2 linked regions of the Danio rerio genome follow. The protein of the gene in region 1 interacts with the protein of each later gene in a pairwise test. Links are inferred from orthologs where the notes say so. Each region holds a gene or a part of one and is shown on either strand. Other genes may lie near its edges.

Region 1 (3,500 bases):
CAACATTATTAGACCCCTTAGTTTTGATTGGCTAAAGAACAAACCTGTGTTGTACGATGACTTTCATCAAGGTGTCTGCAGCGTCTTATAAAGTATTAAAAATTGATAAACCATTTAAGAGAAATTTAAGGTCCTAAAAAAGTATTAAAACATTTTAAAAGCTATTTTACATTGTCTTAAAATTTAGATTATACAATGTAGTTGTATGATAATTTTGCCTTTAATCTGCCAACTCTGGGGTGCTGTGTGGTTTATGAAATCGATAAAATCCTGCTAGATTTAACATCACATTGATTTGTTTACTGTAGTAACTAAGGCAACGCCGTTATTCCTGCTGTTCTATTGTAAAGTTGCTTTAAGGCAAGTCACTTTAAAAAGCCTCTCGGGCAGTATGCTCAGGCATTTTTTTTGAAAATTCTCCAAAATTGCTTGTCATGCTTACGATTAAATTTCGTATTAAGAATCACCAATAAAATTGAACAATTAAACAACAACAACTACAGAAAATCTACAGAAACTCTCTTCTGGTCCAAGCCATCATGCAATCATCAGTCTTCATCATCAGATTGATCAGTCTAATAGCGATCTGATTGACTCCTGTACTAGAAAGTGGGGCTTTATTCATTATATTGACGTTACACTTTTTTCCCCATTCAAAACTGTACGATTGTGTTTTTTAATAGTTTTTGTCTATAGGGGCCACCCGCTGGATTAGCATTTATATTCATTATACTGTATAAATAATCTTTCTTAAAATCAGAATTGAGTAAATATACTTTAAGTTAAAATGTTGCCAATGTTCCTGGTTGAAACCTAAAGTGGTGATAAGGACTTAAGATATATGGAAAGTGTCTTAAAAAAGGTTCTAAAAGGAATTAAATTTCACTCTCTGATTCCTGTTTATACACTGTTCATAATTACCCTAACTATTCAAATTAAGTCTTTAAATCACACTTTAAGCTCCATATTTATATCTTGTAAAATATCATGTACTGTCATCACAGCAAGGACGCAATCAGTGTTTAAAAATGTGTTGAAAATATTCCCTCCATTAAACAGCACTTTATTCATTGAATTTCTTTTCAGCTTAGTCTCTTAATTAATCTGGGGTCGCCACAGCGGAATAAACGGCCAACTTATCCAGCATGTTTTACGCAGTGGATGCCCTTCCAGTTGCAACCCATTACTGGGAAACACCCAAACACTCTAATTGTATCGCATATCTTTGAACTTGTGGGGGAAACTGCAGCACCTGCAGGAAACCCATGCAAACGCAGAGAGAACATGCAAACTACATACAGGAACGCCAGATGACCCAGCCGAGGCTCGAACCAGTGACCTTCTTGCTGTGAGGCAACAGCACTGCCTACTGTGCCACCGCATCGCTACAGCACTATTTTTATATTATTATAAAAATATTTGAAAATAAAATTTCAGGGGAGGGCTAATCATTTTGCTTTCAACTGTATGACCATGTTTTTACAAGGTGTGTTTTAGTTCATACAAGTATGATAATTATTAAAAGGTGAAAAACCACCATCATCCCTTTTCTTGTCAGTCAAAAATGACATAGGGTTGAATTAGGGTTGTACTGTTTTTAATGTAAATGAACAGTTTTATTAAAAAACACAGAAGTGTTTGACTAATTACTGTAATTATATAATGTAATGAATACTGGAATTTGTATTGTGTAAAAAAAAAAAAAAAAAAGCTACATTGAACATTTTCTTAATATAGCATCGTTTTCTTTGACATTTACAGATATTTAAATGAATGTATGGGGCTTAAGGAGGATAAAGAGACCCTCTCAAAGATGTATGAGTCAATGAGACGTAAGTAACTTTCTCTTTCTTAAGGTTAATAACACTAAACATGGCTACAAAACCTTCACCCCCTCAGATTTTCAGTGGTTAAACATGATAATAAGGTTCAGGGTAATATGTATAATAAGCAGTGGTGTAAAGTAACAAATTACAAATACTCAAAATAACTGTAATTGAGTAGTCTTTCTCAGGAATTGTAATTTACTAAGTAGTTTTAAATTGTTTTGTTTTACGTTCCCTATAGTATAGTTTTATTCAGTATCGGTACTTTATTCCTCTACTTTCCTTCAATCTGCAGTCACTACTTTATTGTTTCTTGTCTATGGGGATTAGAAAAATCAGTCCTGTGATTCCATGTGCGATTTGATTGGACAGAGGGGTAAATTGCATCTTAATGAACTACCTCAAGACATGTGCTATTTATAATTGCAGCAAACTGTTTGGAAGTATTAAGTGTCCAAGAAGATGTCCAAAATCTTTACACGCAATGACCCAGAGACTGTTTAGATGCATGTCACTAATAGGAAGATGACATGCTTACTGTATGATGACCAAAATGGCCTTAAAACACACAGCAAGCACAAGGCATTAACATGGTGTTAGACTGACATTGTACCTCAACGTCGTGGCGTGAGGACATTGCGTTTAACTTAACATCAGGCCGATGTCTGTGTACAACCTAAATCAACCAAATAACAACATCATTTGACATTTGTTAAGGCTGATTTAAAATAATGATGTGCTTAGACACTGGTTAATCATTGAATTTTTGTCACCTAACATCACAACCTAAATCTAACCTGATTTCTTGTAGCGTTATGTGGCTGCTGGGCAATAACTAAATGCACTACAGAATGCCAAGTTTACACAAATTGCATGTAAATGCATCAGCCGTTTACAGGGTAATACTCACTACTCGAGTACTTTTGATATGTCTACTTTTAACTCATACTTTGAGTAATATTTTCAACAGATACTTTAACTCGCACTACATTTGTAAGCAAGTAATGGCATCTTTACTTAAGTATGATTTTTTTTTTTTAGTAGAGAAATATTAATGATGGTTTAATATGTTGTGTGTTTTTTATTACACTGCACAAACCAGAATTATGACTGAACCATAAAAAATATTTAGTATAATAAAACAGAGCTACTTGCATAAAACAATCCTATTTATAATTGCATTTGAAAATTGTCCTGGATATCCTTCCATAAAACTACTTGTTGCCAAAATGGTGGTAATTTGCACCTGCTAGGACAATTATTGTCATCAAGTAAGTTAATTTACTATTGTTGCATTTATAATATAAGTCAGTGTTTCTCAACCACGTTCCTGGAAACCACTAACACTGCATGTTTTGGATGTCTCTATTGTTACCATCATTACAGGTTTTTCAGCCTCTGCTATTTGAGCTGATGATCTGAATCAGGTTTGTTTGGTTAAGGAGACATATGAAGAATGTGCAGAGTTGGTGGTCCTCCGGGAACATGGTTGAAACACTGATATAAGTGACACTGTTGTATCACATGGATAATTCTTAATATGTTTTTCACTGTAGGAATGACAAGTCTTGTTAAAGCGTACGAGCTTCCCAAAGCTGAGGAAGTCAGTATCTGCAAACAGAAACTGGAAAGGATTTATGCTGAGTTTGCTACAAACCTGTGAGTATTTGTGGA
Region 2 (4,220 bases), on another chromosome or scaffold:
GACTGCATTAAACCATCTTTAAGAAATCAAAGTTTTATCCTAGATTCTGTCCTCTTATTTGACACACAGGTAGATGCAGTAGTTAAATCTTGGTTTTTTTCAGCTGAGATTATCAGCCAAAGTGAAAGGCTTTTTAAAAGGCTTCTTACTGGTACACGCAGGTTTGAACACATTACTCCTATCCCGTGTTTCCTAAATTGTGACCTAGAATTGAGTTTAAAATTTTAATGTCTGTTTTTAAGGTATTAAAAGGCCAGGCTCTGACTTATCTCTCTAATCTTATTAGTTCAAATATCTGCCATATGTTTAAGGTCATCGAACCAGAAAATGCTAGTAGTTCCCAGATCCAAATTGAATAAAAAAAGAAGATTGAGCTTTCTCTGTAGTAAGTCCTAAAGTGTGGAACAGGCTACCTTCGTCCATTAGAAAAGTTTCTATTGAATCTTTGTTCAGAGGGAAACTTAAACTACACCTCCTTGAAATAGCTTTTAAATTGGGAGAAAATTAATCCTATTGTACCTATCTGGTCGCTTGTTATGTATCTATGATGCTGTGTGGTATGTTGGATGTATTCTATGTTGTTTTACTTGTTGCTGTCTATTTTTGATCATTTGCTTTTAGGTTTGTACAGCACAATGGTCAACAACTTAAAAATTTTTTTTTTATTACGCTTTGTAAATAAATAAACTAAACTAATTAAAAACATTATTAAACTTTCAGACATTCTGAACTGAAAATATTGCACGTCATCTTTTGTCATTATCGCAAGTTTTAATATTCAAACATGGCTACAACTTAACAACACAGTACCTCACTGCATATTTAATAATTAAATTAAGGCTCTAGCTTGTATTGCACTAAATAAAACACAGATTTGATTGGAGTCTCCTATGAGTGTATGGTGTTTTCTCTCACCCCGCACAGCTCACAGCACTCGCCCAGCATCTTGTACCCCTTCAGCAGATAGTCTCCCATCAGCTTGCTGATCTTATCCTGCCGCTCCCGGCGAGCCTGAATCACCTTCATCTCTGCTTCAGAGGGAGGCTCCCATTCAAAGTCTTCATCATCTGGATTCAGGAAAACACACACAGAATGCTCTTGTTTATGGACGAATGCTCATTTAATTCACACACCCACTTAAGCACTTTCCAGGTGTTTTAAAACTTTTTCAGTACTTTATAAAGTGTGGAAAATTACATATTTACATACGTCTGCACACCTCATCACATTAATTATATTTAGAAAAAAATCCTTTCTATAAAGATTGGTGGGAGAGAGGTATTTGGTTGAGTGTCCATCTATTAAACAAAGAGGGTGAGGTTCTGAGTTACTGGAAATTTTTGTGAAAAATATAACTTTGAATGTGATCATAAGCAATTCAATAGGGTATTGAAATCTATTCTGAAGGCATTTGTAATAATGGTTAGTACTGTGGCCCCCAATAAAAATGACGTACCTTATTTGCTGATGAATGGAGAAGATTTTATTCAGAGTGTATTCAGATAATAAGCTCTATTATCGAATTAGGGAATATGTTCCTTTCCTTCCCCATACCTCCTCAAAGCTAAAGAAGTACACTTTAAAATATTCAATGATATTTAACCATCTGCAGAGACTGTATATTTATTTTTGACTGTTTATACAGCAGAACCTTCTAGACAAATTCATTTGAGTGGTTAAAAGTTTCTCTCAAGATGTCCTCCCAATTTTCTAAAAATGATATTATCTTTGGTTTATTAGGGGAAGATATTAATATTCAAGTTGTATTGAACAATATTCTAATTTTGGAGAAATTTTATGTTCATAAATGCAAGTGCCTGAAAACAAAACCACTGTTTTGGGTTTTCCAAAAGGAATTTTGGTTATACTGTAAAGCTTTAAAGTTGGTAAAATCAAAATTAGGAAGTTCAGTTTATTGAAAACATTTTAATTAATAGACGACCAGGTAGTTCTTTTTTGAATGTGTTTGTGTGTCTATTCTGTTTAAAGTTGTATTTATTTATATTATAATCTTATTGATTTGATTATTATTTGTGCTCTGTTCTGTAGTTGTTAATTAAATTTGTGCTATATGCAAAAAAAAAAAAAAAACACTTCATCACATTATATCAGAAGCTATTCTAGAGTATAGTACAGTAAATTATAGTATAATTAATATACTATGTGAAAAATTTCGTTTTTAATTTTATTTTTTTAGCTTTAATAAAAGGAAAATATGTGATAGCAGGTTTGATCCAACCCCAACATTTAGTTATGCTGTCATCCATTTACATATCTTTATTATAATTAATTTATTCATACTATTATTACCAGCTTAGTAAGATAAATTATTATGAAAGGAACAATCGCATTTTAAAGTACTTTATCCATAATCTAAGTACATTTTAAACCTTGAAACACAAGAGTAAAATTCCAGCATTTAAAGTATTTTCAGCACCCGTGCGATTCCTGTACGTGGAACTTTACGAGTCAATAATAGGCAAAGACACAGAGAAAGCTCGATATTTTAAATGAAATAAAAGCCACATGCCAGTACAGAAATGCAGACAGTGAGGGGCTAACCTGCTAACGTAACATGATGTTATTTTAGCGCAGCTGCACGTGTACTAACGTTACTATAGCACGACTGGAGGTTAGTGATTAAGGGTTATTTCGGTACTAAATTGGGGAGTTTAACAAGAGATTTGTCTAAATGTGAGTTTATTGACATTTTACCTGCGTTAAGGGCCATGCTTTCTTCATCAGCCGCCTCACAACACAGATAACGTTTCCTGCTCGAAACTTCAGCGGTGAAATGTGGAAGGTGCTATGAAAACTGACTGGCGCCATCTAGCGAGCTGAATGTAGGTCCTATTGCTCAGTTTTTTCCCCTTCATTCTGAAAATCTCAGGATTATTTGTTTCGTTCGGAAAAAAAAATCTGGATTTAGACACATAAAAAAATACATAGTTTATGCTGGAAAATAAAGAATGTTCTTCACTATCTCTTGGTTTCCAGTCAACTAAATATTCTAACTACCTGCTTGATTTGTTTAACTGATAATATGCAGTTACGCCTCTCTCTAGCCCTAGACATCTGGGGTCTTAACAATGCAGAAAATAACATTTTATAATGAAAGTGGATTTTGAAAAAAATTCAAAAGGCTCCTAAACAATAAAATCACTCCTTCTGCACAACTCTATAATTTATTTTTAAACATTACCATCACTGCATCAGGTTAATATTAGCCTAATTAATACATAGTTAATGTGAATAAAGAAAATCACTTTGATTTCATAGTTTACTTTGACCAATAGGTGATGCTGTTACCAAACTAGTGTAGTGTGGCGTTGTCAGTCTTGCAAAGATACAGCCTCAGGTGTTGGTGTTGCCAGCATGGTTTGGAAATGTGTAGTTCACACAGTCTTATGGTGAGAAAAAGTAAAGTTTGGGATTTTCATCAGGGCTCAAACTGTGCAAATCATCACTGGTTATGGTTAACACACAACAGTTGTGGACAAATAGCATTAGCTTTGTCAGCTATATTACCGTATGTGAAAAACGGTATGTGTGCTATAGTATTACACCCAAACCAGTTGACAGATGAGAATACTAAGAAGTTCGCACATGATGGACACTTCACTACCTTATGAGCCCACAGAAGAGGGTTTATTAATGGAAAAATACAAAATGACTGAAAACATATGACGAATGATAACTTTTCTTAATTCGTTGCAAAAATCTAATTGTCCTCACTATTTAGTATTTACTTATCCTCAAGTGGTTATAAACCTTTCTGAGTTTCTTGACAACAAAATAAGTAATTTTGAAGAAAACTAAAAACCCGTAGCCATTGACTTCCACAGCAAGCAAATTCCATAGTGTCTTACTACACAAATCATTGCAATTTCTCATATTAAACAGGTTTAAACAAGTGAAGGGAGAGTAAATGATGACAGACTTCTCATTTTTAGGTGAACTATGCTTTGAAGCCAAGAAATTAGAGGAGACAATAATTACATTTTTATTAGTTCTTACAGTTTCAAAGGTATTAGCACAAACGTTCATGCAAATTTGAACAGCACTAGAGGGATTAAGGTTGGAGACTTCAAAACTGATAATGTTCCTTCATTCACTTTCCTTCGGCTTAATCCCTGTATTTATCAGGGGTCGCCACAGCGGAATGAACTGTCAACTATTCCAGTGTGTTTTACGCAGCAGATGCCCTTCCAGCCACAACC

What was found. The genes of interacting proteins can lie anywhere in the genome.
Region 2: the proteins of ccnh (region 1) and znrd2 interact in binary tests that used the Homo sapiens proteins (3 or more experiments, as listed by UniProt). The two-hybrid records come from large-scale screens. The link is inferred for Danio rerio from reciprocal best matches to the Homo sapiens genes CCNH and ZNRD2.

The regions. Positions count from the first base shown.
Region 1 is NC_133180.1:52,024,819-52,028,318, reverse strand, and holds part of ccnh (cyclin-H), read left to right. Parts: intron 1-1,761; coding exon 1,762-1,832; intron 1,833-3,382; coding exon 3,383-3,485; intron 3,486-3,500. UniProt on the Homo sapiens protein: Regulates CDK7, the catalytic subunit of the CDK-activating kinase (CAK) enzymatic complex. CAK activates the cyclin-associated kinases CDK1, CDK2, CDK4 and CDK6 by threonine phosphorylation.
Region 2 is NC_133185.1:31,775,179-31,779,398, reverse strand, and holds the start of znrd2 (protein ZNRD2), read right to left. Parts: upstream 2,801-4,220; 5' UTR 2,732-2,800; coding exon 2,716-2,731; intron 1,068-2,715; coding exon 916-1,067; intron 1-915. UniProt on the Homo sapiens protein: Might play a role in mitosis. Antigenic molecule. Could be a centromere-associated protein. May induce anti-centromere antibodies.